Saccharomyces cerevisiae S288C: one gene and its partners. The gene in region 1 interacts genetically with each later gene. Each region holds a gene or a part of one and is shown on either strand. Other genes may lie near its edges.

What was found.
Region 2: of GIC2 (region 1) and CYC8, extra expression of one rescues a mutant of the other (dosage rescue), as found in Saccharomyces cerevisiae (one study listed by BioGRID).
Region 3: mutations in GIC2 (region 1) and DMA1 impair growth when combined (synthetic growth defect), as found in Saccharomyces cerevisiae (one study listed by BioGRID).
Region 4: of GIC2 (region 1) and MSB2, extra expression of one rescues a mutant of the other (dosage rescue), as found in Saccharomyces cerevisiae (2 studies listed by BioGRID).

The regions. Positions count from the first base shown.
Region 1 is NC_001136.10:1,078,431-1,082,025, reverse strand, and holds GIC2 (Gic2p), read left to right. Parts: upstream 1-1,826; coding exon 1,827-2,978; downstream 2,979-3,595. Other genes in the region: SUM1 (Sum1p), read left to right, coding at 1-898; SRB7 (Srb7p), read left to right, coding at 3,577-3,595. UniProt on the Saccharomyces cerevisiae protein: Required for cell size and shape control, bud site selection, bud emergence, actin cytoskeletal organization, mitotic spindle orientation/positioning, and mating projection formation in response to mating pheromone.
Region 2 is NC_001134.8:462,370-467,527, forward strand, and holds CYC8 (transcription regulator CYC8), read right to left. Parts: upstream 3,402-5,158; coding exon 501-3,401; downstream 1-500. Other genes in the region: SUS1 (Sus1p), read left to right, coding at 1-60, 131-210; DNA repair protein RAD16, read left to right, coding at 4,879-5,158. UniProt on the Saccharomyces cerevisiae protein: Acts as a component of the CYC8-TUP1 corepressor complex which is involved in the repression of many genes in a wide variety of physiological processes including heme-regulated and catabolite repressed genes.
Region 3 is NC_001140.6:339,352-342,919, reverse strand, and holds DMA1 (ubiquitin-conjugating protein DMA1), read left to right. Parts: upstream 1-1,560; coding exon 1,561-2,811; downstream 2,812-3,568. Other genes in the region: protein channel TOM71, read right to left, coding at 1-571; COX23 (Cox23p), read right to left, coding at 800-1,255; BZZ1 (Bzz1p), read right to left, coding at 2,936-3,568. UniProt on the Saccharomyces cerevisiae protein: E3 ubiquitin-protein ligase which functions in cell cycle retarding in conjunction with the UBC4 and UBC13/MMS2 complex, 2 E2 ubiquitin conjugating enzymes. Involved in nutritional control of the cell cycle. Targets the G1 cyclin PCL1 for destruction.
Region 4 is NC_001139.9:515,107-521,363, forward strand, and holds MSB2 (Msb2p), read left to right. Parts: upstream 1-1,836; coding exon 1,837-5,757; downstream 5,758-6,257. Other genes in the region: SNU71 (Snu71p), read left to right, coding at 1-1,310; EAT1 (putative hydrolase), read right to left, coding at 5,984-6,257. UniProt on the Saccharomyces cerevisiae protein: Plasma membrane signaling mucin that promotes activation of the MAPK for the filamentous growth pathway. Partially redundant with the SHO1 osmosensing branch for the activation of STE11.

The DNA of each region.
Region 1 (3,595 bases):
GCTGGCCACCGTGGAGAATGTCTCAGGAGACATCTCCGCAGATTTATCCAAAGGTACTTCATCTATCCATAACGATACTGAGTCTGCTAACGATAGTAGCAATGGCAACGGAAACCTCGGTTTGGGTACAGAGTCACGCAATACATTGTTAACGGCAACTCCCATTGAATTAATCTGCCGGGAAGGCTTCTTCTACCGGAGAGATATTCCGGACGTTCCCATTACCACAGGAGCGTACCTGGAATTTAAATTCAAGGCGAAAGAAGAGGAATTGATCAACTCTAGCATCAATGAGGAGGATTATGCTGCTAAATCAAAGCATGAAAAAATGAATGCGCATTTCTTCAAGCCTGATATTCAAGAAGAGACGGAACTTGCCTTTGAAATTTTGAGCAAGACAACGCTGACAGAGAAATACGTTAACAGTTTGGAGTACTTCTTGATGGAATTCAGGTGGGAGAATAAACTAGTTGGTCTAGGCTTAAAACTTCGGGAATCCAAAAGAACCTGGCAAAGGAGAAAGGCGTTATTTGCCCTTTTCGAATTTTGGAGAGACCAATCAAGAGACAAAAGAAGATTCCACAACTACACCATCCTGCATGCGGTGAAAGAGATGGAAAACTACAGAATATTTATTAATCGATCCGTTTCATGGTTCTACAACCATATTACCCTGCTAAAAATGATCCTCTACGACCTCTGCGACAATGTGACCACTCAATGGAGAGAGTGGATGTTTCCCCATAACGAAACACTGCCGGCATTGGGTCAGGACGGCATTAACGAAGACAATCTGAATGAAACCATCGACAACATGTTAATTTTTGACTTCCTTGATGACGGTTCAGAAAACAACCAGGTCAAATATTCCAGAATCATACCGCCAGATATCCGTTAAGCTGGTCCGTACGTTGGGGCAGTTTCGAGAATAGATAAAAAAATGAAAAATAAAAAAAAATAAAAAAAACACAAAATAATGGACCGTTACTATGCCCAACCAAGTAACCTCCCAACTTATTTGGAACATTACATATTTAGCGCTTAACATTACATACATATTTAGCGCTTAACATTACATACACCTTTATCGACGAATTTGTAACTATTTCTTACTCTTGCGCTGAGGAACGCCCCAGTCGTACAAAAGCACCTCTGCATACTAAGAAACTTAAACTATCGCCATTGTCTCAAAATAGCAAAAAACGCAAAAAGCATACCGCTGGGCGCTTATCTATATTAACCTACACGAGAAAAGAAACATGATTGACTGCGTCAGATTCAAAAACCTGCAAAGTTTGTTTTTATAATTTTGGCGTTCAGCAAGCGCGCGGCTCCGCTCCATTAATATTCCAGAAAAAGAAATTCCTTCTTTGGGTGTTGTGTATTGCTACTTTGGGCAGGCGCGACCGGGCCAAAAGAATGCGGCACCCGGCAAAGACGCGTTCTGGCCCCTGAAGACTTAAGCACTGGAATGGCTCCGAGGATTGGTCACCCAGAAACAGGTGCAGACCAACCATTTCGAGATCTAGATGTTGCCTATTTCTCGAGGAAACGCTGCCGTTATCGCCATGTTTGGTGGAACAATTGTGAAACGTGATCAATTCGTGTTTGCAAGCTAGTGATCATTCGCATCCGAAAAAGAAACTGAAAATGTAAAACTCCAGTAAAACGAGACCTGTTGATGGATTGTTTCGTGTCTGGTATATATTATTGCTACTGCTCAAGAGAGCTTCTTTTTTTATGCTATCGAACTCGATCTTTCGCTCCGAAACACCTAACACTAACAAAAGGAATACCTGACAGAATACGCTATCAAAAGAACGAATATGACTAGTGCAAGTATTACCAATACTGGAAACGAAACCATGAACCTTCCACAGATGCGGTCGATTTGGCTGGATGAAGATGAAGAAGCTGAAAAACTCTACGGTCTGCAGGCCCAGCAATTCATGGGATCTGATGATGAAGAAAACCTAGGCATTACTTTCATCAACAGCGATAAACCTGTGCTGAGTAACAAGAAAAACATTGAGTTGCCTCCACTTTCACCAAATTCACATCCGTCTTGCCACCACAGGAGAAGTAATTCTAACTCTGCAAAGTCTAAAGAATCATCGTCATCATCGTCCAGCGCCAACAAGACAAATCACAAAAAGGTTTTCCTTAAGCTTAATTTGTTGAAGAAAAAGTTGCTTGGTGCCCAACCGGACATAAGAGGTAAAGGTATCTCCACACCATTTGATTTTCAACATATTTCACATGCTGACACTAGAAATGGATTCCAAGATGAGCAATTGCAGGAACCTTCATCGCTGTCCACAGAGATTAAGGACGACTATACCTCCTCCTCAAGCAAGCGGGATTCGAAATCACTAAATAAAGCTTTTGTCACTGAAAGGATCCCTGCTAATCGTGAAAGCAAACTCATTTCAAGATCGCACGAAAATAAGACATCAAGACTATCAGTCGCGCGTTCGATCTCAGTAACGTCCTCCAATTACTCTAAAAACACACAAGGAAACAATCATTCCATTAATGGGAGAGTCGTATCTACGTCAACTATGGCTACATCTATTTTTGAGTATTCCCCAAACGCATCTCCAAAACAATTTAAAAATAAGTCACACGCTCTGGGTCATAGATACACTAATTCCACGGATTCTAGTGAGTCTTCGCTGGATTTTTTGAAGAACTACAACTTCCCCACACTACTTGAAGATAAGCCTATTTTAGACTTCTTGCCTCGTTCTCAGAGGTCAAGCGCTTATCGTAGCCTTTTAGAGACCCCAAACTCAAATAAGGACTCAGCAAAAGCCTTCTTTCCTTCACGCCAAAGCCCTCTTCCCAAGAGAAGAAACTCTATAGCTACGCCTTCTCCACAATCTAAATTTTCCTACTCTGACTCCCCTGTAAACCATAGAAAATCTTTCGATGATGTTCTTTATTCTTTCAACCAGCTCGAGCCCCTGCAAACTTAAGCTAAGGACAGAAAATGAAAAAAAAAAAAAAAAAAAATTCAAAGAATCAGCTTATAAAACATATTCAAGGACCATCTGAAGTATCATTCATTCGTTTTTTACTCGTTAATCTCATTCATTCGTTTCCTCATTCTTTTTTCTTTGTTCTTTATTTCGGCTATTTTTTCACTATTAAAATAACTAGAGCTAACAATATTATTTCTTCTGCTTTAGTTACAAAACAAGGACATTCATTTAACTTGGCGTTATCCCATACATTCGTTTATTATATCTTCTTTTAAAACACAATTTCTTTTACAGTTAAACTTTTCTGATTTATTATATATTACTTAAGATTGTTCATATAACTAACATTTATATGCTTATATGCGTGAAGTGCGCTTTTGTAGAACATGTGGCTGTTTCTGTAGAAGCCTTGTCTTTCTCTGTAATCCTTTAAAGGCCAACCGTACGTGCTTAATTACAAGCTTTGTTCGCATTGCAAGAAAGTTAGAAAAAAAATCAATTCTGAAAGATAATTATAATTCAAACGGTAAACCATTGGTTAAAAGAGGGACATAACATTTCACTAGTTCAATACATTATATGCTCTTTAACAATGACAGATAGATTAACAC
Region 2 (5,158 bases), on another chromosome or scaffold:
ACATAAATGAATCTACGAACTTTACCCAAATTTTATCCACCGTAGAACCCAAAGCATTAGGTATGTGAATATTTTATCACTAAATTTATTGAAAAGAGAACGTTACTAACAGTGGAATTTTTTTTTCTAGAAATGGTATCGGATTCAACAAGGGAAACCGTTTTAAAGCAAATAAGGGAATTTCTTGAAGAGATTGTAGATACACAATGAAGGATACGAAAATGCACCTTAATTCCCAATATTATTACATATGCTCATCGGGAAAACCTTTTAAGCAATAATAGATTTTAAGTATGTAATGATACAAATAATAATATATTTATATACGCATATATTTACATGTGCATATATGAAAAATAACCTAATTCACGTTACCCACCTTTTTTTTTAGCCTTTTCTTTATTTATATATGTATCCACAACATAATGAATGAATTGTGAGCTACACAACATTTCTCGTTGATTATAAATTAGTAGATTAATTTTTTGAATGCAAACTTTTTAGTCGTCGTAGTTTTCATCTTCTTCCACTTGCCTTACTACATTTTCTCTTGGAAGTGTGTTCTCCTGTGGGGATTTTTCTTGAGATGTTTGCTCTTCCTCACGCATTTTGGCCTCCTCTTTCACTGTTTCCATTGTTTCCAAAGTAGGTTTGATTACAGTTATCGTTGTAGCAGCGGTTTCATCTTGTTGTTTTTCAGCATCTCTGGAAGCTGCTGGCTCCGCCTCTTCAGTAGAAGGTGCAGATGCTTCAGTTGTGCCGTTTTCCTCTTTAGAATGCTGTCTTACTTCGTCTTCTACAGGGCTTGCTTCTGCAGGAACAGTAGCAGTAGAAAGTTCTATGGTCTCAGCAGTGCTTTGGTCATTTGCTTTTGTTGTTGAACTTTCTGATGATACAGTTGGTTGGACACTAGATGACTCTGGTTCCGTATTAAGCGGTTTTGTAGAAGGAGAAACAGAAGCTGCTTTGGTAGCTTCTTCAGCAGGACTAGCTTCCTGTGGAGGTTCCTGTGCGCCAATTACTGAAGGTATTGAGTTTGCTTTTACAGGTTTTTCTTCTTGTGAAGTATTATTGGTATTAGACTCCACTACTGCTGGCGATTGGTTGCTCACCTCAGATTTTGCATTTTCTTCAATGGAAGTAGCAGTATTTACTAATTTGTTGATGTTTGAATTTGGAGAGTTCAACTTTTGCTTCTTTACCTGTGGTTCAGCGTTCGTTATTCCTGTTGCGGGAGCTTGCGTTGGAATGGCATGGGTTGGTTGACGAGGAGACTTTGTGTTATTCTCTGTGTGGGTGCTACTGGATACGGCGGCATCTACTAAAGTGTGGATTGCACCTTCCATGTATCTCTTTTGAGGTAAAACGTTCTGTTCCACGTTATGCTGGATTAAAGGTTGGGGAGCTTGGGCTTGAGGCTGGCCTTGAAGTTGTTGTGGATGTTGAACAGATTGTAGTTGTTGCTGTTGAGGTGGCAGTTGAGAGCTTTGCGGATGTTCCATAGCTTGTGTAGAAAATGGTTGCAGTTGGTGAGCTTGTATGACTGTTGGCTGTGTGATATATGGTTGCCCTTGTTGAGGATTTAACATTTGCACAGAAACTCCCTTTTGCTGCAGCTGTTGTCTTGGTAGGGGCTGTAATTGCTGCTGCTGTTGTTGTTGTTGTTGTTGTTGTTGTTGTTGTTGTTGTTGTTGTTGTTGTTGTTGTTGTTGCTGTTGTTGTTGTTGTTGTTGTGCCTGCGCCTGTGCTTGTGCTTGTGCCTGTGCTTGTGCTTGTGCTTGCGCTTGTGCATGTGCTTGTGCTTGTGCTTGTGCCTGTGCTTGCGCCTGTGCTTGTGCTTGTGCTTGCGCTTGTGCTTGTGCTTGTGCTTGAGCTTGTGCTTGTGCTTGAGCTTGTGCTTGAGCTTGAGCTTGAGCTTGAGCTTGTAATTGAGGGGAAGCTCCATTACTGTACATTGTTGCAGAAGAGTTAATAGGCGTTTGTTGAGCAGGATGCTGTTGTTGTACCATTGAAGCAGTAGCATTGGCAGATTGGGCTGAAATTCTAGTGTTCAAAGGATTTCCTTGATCATTAGGTTGTAAGGTAGGTTGTAAAATCACAGGAGGTGGGGCAGGAGAGGCATTCGTTGGCGCACCGTTCGATTTGTTTATATTGCCTGGGTTTTCTAACTGCTTTGTTAAAGCTTCTAATCTTTCTCTTATGTGAACATTATTTACGTCCAGTCTTGCAGCTTGCTTATACGCATCAAGGGCGTCAGATAATTGGTTGTTACAAGTTTCGTAAAGAGTACCTAGATCGTACCAAACTTCACTAATATAAGGATTTAATCTTATGGCTCTTGTGTACGCGTCTAAGGCGTCTCTGTATTGAGAAATTTGGTAATATAAAACACCGATTGAGCACCAAAAGATAGGGTTTCTTGAATCTCTATTAACAGCTTGTTGGAAAGCATCATATGCGGCAGTATAATCTGTTCTAATCATATGCACTCTACCGAGATGGTACCATGTAGTGGCATCGGAGGGATCTGCTTCTAACGACTTTAGAAGATAATCCAATGCCTTTTGAGGGTCATAAAATTGTACGTTACTCATACCGTAAAGACAACCTAATTGTTGTAATACTTTGGCATGATGTTGATTTTGAGCCAAGACATGCTCGTAGGCTTCCTTCGCACCTTGCCACTCTCCCATACTCTCCAAAACACTACCCAACTGAAACCATATGTCCCACTCCTGCAAGGGAGCAGGAGGTTGAGGGAGAATGTATCTGAAGCATTCCAAAGCTTGAGACCATTTACCCTGATGTTTATAAATAATACCTAGTCTGAAGTAAATTTCGTTTGCCTTTTCAAAATGAGGGTCCAATTCCAAAACTTTGGCAAAAGCTTCTTCGGCATAGTCGAGCGAACCATATCTGTCATAAAGAATGCCGATTCCATGCCATAATTTCGGTACGTTGGGATTACTGAGGTGGTAGAGAGCCTGTTGATAGGCATTGTAAGCTCTTTGCAGATCATCCAGCATCAGATAACAATGACCTAAAGTAGCCCACACATCTGATAGTTCGGGATTTACCAAAAGTGCTCTTTCATATAATTCTGCAGCTCTTTGGAACATGTCTCTGGAACGGTACAAGTGAGCCAAAGATGTTAAAGCCTTTGCAGATGAGGGATTGAACTGTAAAGTGGCGTCATATGCCATTGCGGCCCTGTCGCCATCACCAAGGGTTTCTGCCAAAGAAGCAATGGAGAGCCAAGTTTCCGCAGTTGATTGTGTTAATGGGTCGAGTGGCTGCTGAGGAACTGCTGCCTGCTGTTGCTGTTGCTGCTGTTGTTGTTGCTGTTGTTGTTGCTGTTGAGCGGGTTGTTCCATTATTGTTTGTTCACCGCCCGGATTCATTTTTCCTAATTTTTTTTTTCCAGTCGTGTTTTGTTTGTTGTTGTTGCTGTTGTAGTTGTAGTACTAGTCTAAAGGCTTATAGCAGTGAAAAAGAAAAACAGAAATATGGGAAAAGAGGTAACGGGAATACGCCTCTGGTTCAAAGACTAGTGACGTTGTCGTATTTGGCTTTGTTGATTCTAGTTCTCTCAATTGAACTCCTGACGTGGTTTGTAAAAAAACAGAGAACAGGAAACAAAAAACAAAAAGACAAAGAAAAAAATGCGCTTTTGCTTTGATAATCGGAAGGGAAAAGAACGACCGACCGAAGAAAAGAAAAATAAAATAAATTTAAACAAACCTTGTTCGAGTTGGATAGGGGAAAAACGCCAAAAAAAGATGGAGTACAGTACGCGGGAGACCAGTGGCTAGCGACGGGAGTAGCAACGATCGAGAAAGGAGTAGCGCAGAGAAAAGAAAGAAAATAGAGAGATAAAATAATTAGAGCCGATACGGCACCCGTGCGATACGAGACAGGACGGAACAGTCCGGTACGTGTGGTAAGTTTTACGAAACGAGAGGACACGGCATGACATGGCCCACGTTATAAGGCAATTTCCATTTTAGCATTGGCAAACGCACAAGCACAAAAAAGATGTGGAACAACCACTAAGAACGGAGTGTGCACGAAAAAAATAAGCTTTTCTCGTGCCCTGAGTGGTGCACAAAAGAAGAAAAGGGAAAAAAAAAGCGAACGAGGAGTGACGTGGACGCGATGAAGGTGACTCAGCCAATCCGGGTGAGCCGCACCCTTCGTCCTCAGTGACCTCTCACGTGCCCTGTATCAGCCAGCCACTGACAGTTTTGTTTTTGCCGCCCAGCTCAAAACTCAGATCGGATGTGCTTTAGTTTTTATCTTCGTTATGTGGATGTTTCATTAGCTTAAAGCATAGGATACCGAGAAACCGTAACGGTTTCATGTTGACCGGTTTTTGAGTTTATGGTTTTAAAGTTCGTCAGTTGTTCCGACGCTTAGATTTTAAGGAGCTTGTCAAAATGCCTAAACCACAATCCTTACAGCACTCAAAATCAACAAAAAGTGAGAAGGTTTGAAAGTAGTACATCCCCTCTTCCCTTTGATTTTTAGCCGCCAAAACTACCAACCCACACAGCACAAAATGTGTTACTCCTCGAAAAAATCTGTTACCCTTTTCCCGCCATGGTTGCCAGGGAAACAGTGGGGACTTCTGCGTTGCTTCTATTTTTCCCCCCTCCTTCCTCCTGCGCCTCCGTTTCTTTTTCTTCCCTTTTCATTTCCCTTTTCTTTTTTTTTTCAAGTTTCGGATTAACGCTATAAAAAAAATGCACAGATAGGACCTTAAGGACTAATAAAACCGACAGTATAACGACGTAATGCTGCGTGGTGTTTTCAAACCTTAGTAGTTTTGGTAATTTTAGATACTCTTGGCCGTATAACTGGTGTACCAACTGAAAAATCATGCAAGAAGGGGGCTTTATCCGTAGAAGGCGTACGAGAAGTACGAAAAAAAGTGTTAATTATAATGAACTAAGCGATGACGATACAGCTGTGAAAAACTCAAAAACTCTGCAGCTGAAAGGGAACAGCGAAAACGTAAATGACAGCCAAGATGAAGAATACCGTGATGATGCTACGCTCGTGAAATCACCCGACGACGATGACAAAGATTTTATCATAGACCTAACAGGTTCAGATAAAGAGCGGACCGCCACCGATGAGAATACTCATGCGATCAAGA
Region 3 (3,568 bases), on another chromosome or scaffold:
TTATCTCAAGTGCCTTTGTAGTGAACTCTATAACCTTCTCTAAGTCGCCCGTAGAAATGTAACAAGCAGATATGTTGGAATAGAACACTGGTTCATTCGGGTCCAGCTCAATGGCATACTGGTAGTATTTGATGGCCTCATTAAAATTCTTAGCAGTGAAGAAGTGGTTACCTCTGTTCTTCAGTTGCACGGCATACGCTTGTCTCTGGGAGGGTGATAGGCCTTTCAATTGGGCAATATCAGGCTCGCCATTGGGCAAGGAGGGATAGTCAAACCCTTCTCCCGATTTTGCCTTATTGTTCCTCTTGCGTTTATTCTTCTTCTTCTTCCTCTTATTACTTCCACTTACGACGCTGCCGTCGTCCTTTAAGTCCGCCTCGTCTTCATTTTGACCAGCAAAGGCCTCACTTTGACGTCGGTTGTCTTTTGTACCCTTCAATTGCTGCTGTTGCTGCTGCTTAATTTGCTGGTAGTAAACATAAGCACCCACAGCAGCAGTCCCCGCAGAGACCGTTGCTAGGATGGCCACTTTGTTCTTGGTGATAAACCTCAGGAGGGAGTTTTCGGCCATAAGAGCTTCTTATGTTCGGTATATACAAGTATGTAGAGATATATACAAAAAATTCTTTATTCGCACTTTGAAAATCCAATTTAGCTTGCTTATTTACATACCATTGCGAATTAGTTTTTCACATTGCACTAGAGTGTGCTGTGGCTGCCTGTCGGAACACTACGTCGCGTAGTGGCGATCTATATAGAAAACAGATCACAGCTGAACAAACAAGAAGAAAAGGCTGCCTCATTCCCACTGCTGTCTGTTTTTCCTCCTGGCTGTCAGCCATTGTTTCTTGCATTCGCGGTATGCGTCAAAATATTCTTGGCACTTGGATCGGTCGTAATCGTTGCGCTCGAGGCACTGAAAACTGAGCTTGGAGGACTCCTCACAAGGATCATAGTACTGACTGTCAGCCTTTAACGCGAATTTATACTTATTGACCGGGTTCTCCGGGTCGTCTGGGTAGTATTGAAATGACGACGGATCGTCGCTCTTTGGTACATAGTTGACTTTGGTTCTGTCCGTTACGGGTCCACTGGCCGCTGGTGGCGTGGAAGACGAAGATGGTTGTGAATTGTTGCTGCTTGTAGAGCCACTGTTGGTATTTGTGGTATCCCTATTATCGTTGGTCATGGTCATACCGTTGGAGATAGTGGAGAGACTACTAGTTTGCCGCCTGGTGGGGCTGGGCTTCTCCATTCTCTTTAAGCGCTCTCGTGAGAGAATATCACTGTTTACGGCCCACAAAGAGAATGAGAAAATTGATAAACCTTAGCATTGGGATCAGCAGGAGCCTTAGAATTCTGGGTGTGAACAGAAACACATTAGTGCATTAGTGTATAGGTTCGATATTATTCAAAGAGGAACTCGGTGTACGGCTCAACTGTAAACCGTACTTCTCGTTCTTTGTTCACTGCCCTGTTTCTGACTCTTGTGCCGTGAGCTTTTCTTCTTACAGTGTCGATTTCCTGTGCACATACGTTCTGTATAGTGGTTATTCCTGGATGTCTACTAATACTGTTCCCTCATCTCCCCCAAACCAGACGCCACCTGCTGCTTCTGGCATCGCTACCTCTCACGATCACACCAAGTTCAACAATCCCATCAGACTACCGATATCCATCTCTCTCACCATTAACGATACGCCTAACAATAACAGCAATAATAATAGCGTTAGCAATGGTTTAGGTATTTTGCCCTCGCGTACGGCTACTTCTTTAGTCGTTGCAAATAACGGTAGCGCAAACGGCAATGTTGGTGCTACTGCTGCTGCTGCTGCCACTGTGGAGACGAATACAGCCCCCGCGGTGAACACTACAAAGAGTATCCGCCATTTCATATATCCTCCAAACCAAGTCAATCAGACGGAGTTTTCACTTGATATACATCTCCCACCAAATACCTCGCTACCGGAACGGATAGACCAATCTACTTTGAAACGCAGAATGGACAAGCACGGGCTTTTCAGCATTAGGCTAACCCCGTTTATAGATACTTCATCCACGTCTGTGGCTAACCAGGGTCTTTTCTTTGACCCCATTATCAGGACTGCGGGCGCAGGCTCGCAAATTATCATCGGAAGATACACCGAAAGAGTAAGAGAGGCAATTTCCAAAATTCCAGATCAGTATCATCCCGTAGTGTTCAAATCAAAAGTGATATCCAGGACCCATGGGTGTTTCAAAGTTGATGACCAAGGAAACTGGTTTTTGAAAGATGTCAAGTCTTCCAGTGGGACCTTTTTGAACCACCAGCGTCTATCTTCTGCGTCTACCACTTCTAAGGACTACCTTTTACATGACGGAGATATCATACAGCTGGGTATGGACTTTCGCGGCGGGACGGAAGAGATATATCGTTGTGTTAAGATGAAAATAGAATTGAACAAGTCTTGGAAATTAAAGGCCAATGCATTTAATAAAGAAGCCTTGAGCCGAATAAAAAATCTACAGAAACTAACTACTGGTTTAGAACAAGAAGACTGTTCCATTTGTCTAAACAAAATAAAACCTTGCCAAGCCATTTTTATATCACCATGTGCCCATAGTTGGCATTTTCATTGTGTAAGAAGATTGGTTATTATGAATTATCCTCAATTCATGTGTCCGAACTGTAGGACAAACTGTGATTTGGAGACTACCTTGGAATCCGAATCTGAATCCGAATTCGAAAACGAGGACGAAGATGAGCCAGACATTGAAATGGATATAGACATGGAAATAAATAACAATTTAGGTGTTCGCCTAGTAGATTGATCACATGAAATTTTGTGCTATATATATATATATATATATATATATATATAACATAGAGTCGTCATACCTCTCAAAAAAGTGGCGGCCAGGGAAAATATTTAATAGTTTCAGTTCATTCCTTCGTTCATTTACAGTAACTTGTAGGAAATAGACCTTTCAATCCGTCACATTCACCATATGTCCACCCGCTACCGTCATCGCCTCTGATAACAGTAATTATGTCCCCCGGATCAATTGAAATCTCATCATCTCCCTGTGCTTCGTAGGCATATATGGCCTCCATCGTCCTAACAGGTAGTGTACTCCTTCTTGGTGGTGGTACTTCTGGTGCAGGGCCTCTATCATTTGCTTTAACTGTAGCCGCGCTAGATATGCGAATATATGTGGTGGGTACAAGGCCGGTTTCCCCAGTGGTGTCGTTATTTATCTTAGTCCATCCAGAACCCGTATCGCGTGCAACCAAAGAGATTTTGTCTCCTGGCGTAATGGTGATTTCGTCATCATCCTTTTGTACGTATGCATACAACACTTTATTCTTGCCGTCATCACTGGAATTTTGTGTGGTCTTTTTTGTATTGTTGGTACTAGTGGTGCGTATAGAATTATTATCTGAATCTTCACCAGCGTTGTTAGGGGCAGAGCCTAGCCTAGTTCTTCTTGATGTGTTGAAGAGACTTGTTATATGCAAGGGTCCTCCGTTGCCATTACCAGTGCTCCCTCCACTCGAAGGCTTCGAGTCGACGTTCAGGATGTTGTG
Region 4 (6,257 bases), on another chromosome or scaffold:
CGCTGAACTACTGCAAAGCCTTATTCGCGTTTATTAGAAAGCTACATGAGGATTTCAAGATTGAGTTACACTTGGATTTGAACACAAAAGAATATGTCGAAGACCGAACAGGAACTATACCGAGTGTTAAGCCAGAAAAGGCTAGCGAATTTTATTCTGTTTTCAAAAACATTGAAGATCAAACAGACGAAAGAAATTCAAAGAAAGAACAGTTGGATGACTCTTCCACACAATACAAAGTGGATACAAACACTTTAAGTGATTTGCCATCGGATGCTTTGGACCAATTGTGCAAGGATATAATAGAATTTAGGACAAAAGTTGTCAGTATAGAGAAAGAAAAAAAAATGAAAAGTACGTACGAGGAAAGTAGGCGTCAAAGACACCAAATGCAAAAAGTTTTTGATCAAATAAGGAAAAACCACTCAGGAGCCAAAGGGAGCGCCAATACAGAGGAGGAGGATACTAATATGGAAGATGAAGATGAGGAGGATGACACTGAAGACGACCTTGCCTTAGAGAAGAGAAAAGAAGAAAGAGACCTGGAAGAATCAAATCGTAGATATGAGGATATGTTACACCAATTACATTCCAATACAGAGCCTAAGATAAAATCCATTAGGGCTGATATCATGAGTGCTGAAAACTATGAGGAACATTTGGAGAAAAATCGCTCATTATATTTGAAGGAGCTATTACACCTTGCCAACGACGTTCATTACGACCACCATAGATCTTTCAAGGAGCAAGAGGAAAGAAGGGACGAAGAGGATAGAGCTAAAAATGGAAATGCAAAGGAACTGGCGCCTATACAACTATCGGATGGTAAGGCCATATCTGCAGGGAAGGCTGCCGCCATCACCCTTCCTGAAGGCACTGTGAAGAGCGAGAACTATAACGCGGACAAGAATGTGTCTGAGAGCTCAGAACACGTCAAGATCAAATTCGACTTTAAGAAGGCTATTGATCACTCAGTTGAAAGCTCTAGCGAAGACGAGGGATACAGAGAGAGCGAGCTACCTCCAACAAAACCCTCCGAGAGAAGCGCGGCAGAGGACCGTTTGCCATTTACAGCAGATGAACTGAACATAAGACTAACTAATCTGAAGGAATCGCGCTACGTGGACGAACTGGTGCGTGAATTCCTCGGCGTCTACGAGGACGAGCTGGTGGAATACATTCTTGAGAACATCCGCGTGAACCAGAGCAAACAGGCCCTTTTAAATGAGCTAAGGGAGACTTTCGACGAGGACGGGGAAACGATAGCTGATAGACTGTGGAGTCGTAAAGAATTTCGCTTGGGGACCTGAAACAGAAGGGCCTTGGCGCGCGTCCCAAAAGGGAAAGGCTCGCTCTGAAACAGGCGAAGACACGAAAACAAATTACCGTTTCGGGGCGTTTTGCAGCAAGTGGCTAGACACGTCGGGCGTTGCCAGATCAAAATAGCACCAGTGGGTGTTTTTTTACTATCTCATCTTCGTGCTGATATATATAACTTTTATACATTTCCATAGTACCAAGTTCTTTATTTCCTGCATTTTTACATTTATAATAGATTACCAAAACTATTCGACCTCACCAAGGGACCCCATAATATTGCTAAAATAATCTTACCTGTTTTTTACCATTTTTTTCTTTTTTTCCAGAAGTAATAAGCTCTCTCTTAGAAGAACTAAAAGCATCTGACTTCGGCTCGTTCCAACCGACCAAAATATTTGTGAAAATATTATTCATTCCTTTAACGACTTATTGTGTATTCTGTTCATCTCTAGCTGGCTTCCACCTCGTTTCCTATTTTTATTGACTTTTCATTAGGCTTCCTAATTATACCCATCTATGCAGTTTCCATTCGCTTGTCTCCTATCGACCCTTGTAATTAGTGGGTCATTGGCCCGGGCCAGCCCCTTCGACTTTATATTCGGCAATGGAACGCAACAAGCTCAGAGCCAAAGCGAGAGTCAAGGTCAAGTTTCTTTCACCAATGAAGCTTCTCAGGATAGTTCCACCACCTCTTTGGTAACAGCCTATTCTCAAGGTGTTCATTCGCACCAGTCTGCAACAATAGTGAGTGCCACAATCTCTTCCCTCCCATCTACTTGGTATGATGCGAGCTCCACTTCCCAGACTTCTGTGTCATATGCCAGTCAAGAATCCGACTATGCCGTTAATCAAAACTCTTGGAGCGCGTCTACTAATCAACTGCCATCTACCAGTACGACAAGCTACTATGCGCCAACCTTCAGTACATCGGCCGATTTTGCTGCTTCTAGTGTAAATGCAGCTTCTGATGTCTCCACTGCCAGTGTTCCCATTGATACGAGTGCTAATTCTATCCCTTTCACAACTACAAGTAACATAGAGACTACAACGAGTGCACCTCTCACTTCGGACACTCCACTTATTTCCACTAGTACGATGTCCGCAGCTGATAACGTATTTTCGTCAGCAAACCCTATTTCTGCCTCCCTAACAACCACCGATAGTTCAGAAAGTTTTGACCAAACTTCGACTGCTGGTGCCATTCCGGTGCAAAGTTCAGCAGATTTTAGTAGTTCTAGTGAAATTTTAGTACAAAGTTCGGCGGATTTCAGTAGCCCTAGTTCTCCAACTACTACCGATATATCGCTATCAGCTGCCCCACTGCAAACAAGTGAATCAAGCAGTTTTACCACTGCATCAGCAGCTCTACCAGTAAGTTCAACAGACGTTGATGGCTCAAGCGCCTCACCTGTAGTGAGCATGAGCGCCGCAGGACAAATAGCTAGCTCAAGCAGCACAGATAATCCAACTATGTCAGAAACCTTTTCGTTAACATCTACAGAAGTTGATGGTTCCGATGTTTCATCAACAGTGAGCGCATTATTATCGGCTCCTTTTTTACAAACAAGTACTTCCAACAGTTTCAGCATTGTTAGCCCATCGGTATCTTTTGTTCCATCACAGAGTTCCTCAGACGTTGCTAGCTCCAGTACTGCAAATGTAGTTAGTTCATCCTTTTCTGATATTCCACCGCAAACTAGTACCTCAGGGAGCGTAGTTTCGGTAGCGCAATCCGCATCTGCCCTCGCATTTCAAAGTTCAACAGAGGTATATGGTGCCAGTGCCTCGAGCACAATGAGTTCATTATTATCAACTACTTCGCTACAGTCTACTACTTTGGATAGCTCAAGTTTAGCTAGCTCCTCTGCGTCGAGTTCAGACCTTACAGATTATGGCGTCTCCAGTACAGCAAGCATACCGCTGTTGTCAGCCTCAGAACAAGCAAGTACTTCCAGCAGTTTTAGCGTTGTTAGCCCTTCGGTATCTTTTGTTCCATCACAAAGTTCCTCAGATGTTGCTAGCACCAGTGCTCCAAGTGTAGTTAGTTCATCCTTTTCTTATACTTCACTGCAAGCAGGTGGCTCTAGCATGACCAATCCCTCTTCATCAACTATAGTATATTCAAGTAGTACTGGCAGTTCTGAGGAATCCGCTGCATCTACAGCTTCTGCAACACTGTCGGGCTCCTCGTCTACTTATATGGCAGGAAATTTGCAATCACAGCCTCCATCCACTTCAAGTTTGCTTTCGGAGTCTCAAGCTACAAGCACTTCAGCTGTGCTAGCTAGCAGTTCTGTTTCTACAACTTCACCCTATACCACTGCAGGTGGTGCATCTACAGAGGCCTCATCCCTCATATCATCTACATCTGCGGAAACTTCCCAGGTAAGTTATTCACAAAGCACAACTGCATTGCAAACTTCCTCATTCGCATCGTCTTCAACAACAGAAGGAAGTGAAACATCTAGTCAAGGTTTTTCTACCAGCTCTGTTTTAGTTCAAATGCCTTCTTCGATTTCCAGCGAATTCTCACCCTCTCAGACGACAACTCAAATGAATTCTGCAAGCTCATCATCTCAGTACACTATATCATCCACTGGTATACTTTCTCAGGTTTCAGACACATCGGTGTCTTATACAACTTCAAGTTCGTCTGTTTCTCAAGTTTCAGACACACCAGTTTCTTATACAACTTCAAGTTCGTCTGTTTCTCAAGTTTCAGACACACCGGTTTCTTATACAACTTCAAGTTCGTCTGTTTCTCAAGTTTCAGACACACCAGTTTCTTATACAACTTCAAGTTCATCTGTTTCTCAAGTTTCAGACACACCGGTTTCTTATACAACTTCAAGTTCGTCCGTTTCTCAAGTTTCAGACACGTCAGTACCTTCTACAAGTTCCAGATCGTCCGTTTCTCAAGTCTCAGACACTCCGGTGCCTTCTACAAGTTCAAGGTCGTCCGTTTCTCAAACATCTAGCTCACTACAGCCCACCACTACATCCTCCCAACGTTTCACCATTTCCACTCATGGAGCGCTTTCTGAAAGTAGTTCTGTTAGCCAACAAGCTTCTGAGATTACTAGCTCAATCAATGCAACAGCTTCCGAATACCATAGCATCCAGACAACCGCGGCTACTCAATCCACAACTCTATCTTTTACCGACGCAAACAGCAGTTCTGCTTCCGCTCCATTGGAAGTGGCAACGTCTACGCCAACCCCATCTTCAAAGGCATCCTCTCTGTTGCTTACACCATCAACATCCTCTTTAAGTCAGGTTGCTACAAATACTAATGTACAGACGAGTTTAACAACGGAATCGACGACCGTTTTAGAACCATCAACGACTAACAGTTCCAGTACGTTTAGTCTGGTCACTTCAAGTGACAACAATTGGTGGATTCCAACTGAGTTAATCACGCAGGCACCAGAAGCTGCATCCACTGCATCTTCTACCGTTGGAGGAACACAAACTATGACTTTGCCCCATGCAATTGCAGCCGCGACACAAGTTCCCGAGCCTGAGGGCTACACCCTAATCACAATAGGGTTCAAAAAAGCTTTGAACTACGAATTTGTTGTATCAGAACCAAAATCATCGGCTCAAATCTTCGGATACTTGCCTGAAGCTCTGAACACACCTTTTAAGAACGTATTCACAAACATTACGGTACTACAAATAGTGCCATTACAGGATGACTCACTCAACTACTTAGTAAGTGTTGCTGAAGTATACTTTCCAACTGCAGAAATAGAGGAGCTGTCAAATCTAATTACCAACTCTTCAAGCGCTTTTTACACGGATGGAATGGGTACAGCAAAATCTATGGCTGCAATGGTTGATTCCTCAATACCGCTAACGGGCCTCTTACACGATAGTAACAGCAACTCTGGCGGATCTTCGGACGGATCCTCCTCCAGTAATTCGAACTCAGGATCTTCAGGTTCAGGATCTAATTCGAACTCCGGTGTGTCTTCATCTTCCGGAAATTCCTATCAAGATGCCGGTACTTTGGAATATTCATCCAAATCTAACTCCAACGTATCCACTTCTAGCAAATCAAAGAAAAAAATCATTGGTTTAGTTATCGGCGTTGTTGTTGGTGGATGCTTATATATTTTATTCATGATTTTTGCTTTCAAGTATATCATAAGAAGGCGGATTCAAAGTCAAGAAATTATCAAGAACCCAGAAATTTCCAGTATCAGTTCAAGTGAATTTGGTGGAGAGAAAAATTACAATAATGAAAAGAGAATGAGCGTTCAAGAATCCATAACACAATCTATGCGAATTCAAAATTGGATGGATGATAGTTACTATGGTCACGGGTTGACAAATAATGACTCAACTCCAACCAGGCACAATACATCGAGTTCCATACCAAAAATTTCAAGACCAATTGCTAGCCAAAACTCCCTGGGTTGGAACGAAGTTTGATAGCAATGTCTGCAGAGACTTTCTCCGCTTGCATAACCTTATAAACTTATAACGATACCTACTTATTTCATATCTTATGTATAGTTCTCCTTCAAGGAGACGTTGTTTTAATACTTTTATCTATTCCATTTATCATTATCTACTTTGTAATCAAAGATCGAAGCACTGCTGTGTGCGTTGATTTGGGCCTGACACGAGAAGAAAGTGCGTTACGTACATCAAGATTTTATTCAAAATCCAGCGTCTCCTCCGCAAAAAAGTTCAGAATACATTTGAATGAGTCCTCTGGATTCTCCAACAGTAAATTATGCCCAGTATTAAATTCTCGGACATCAGCACAGGGAAAGTTATACCTCAGGAGGGAATAATCATTGTTAATAAAGTTAGACTGCAGGCCTTTCATGAATAAAACTTTACGACTGGCTGTGCCTTTTTGGAAGAAGTCCCTTTGGTTCGATAGATCCGGCCATTTTTTCACTTCATCCAACAGGTTCGGCATG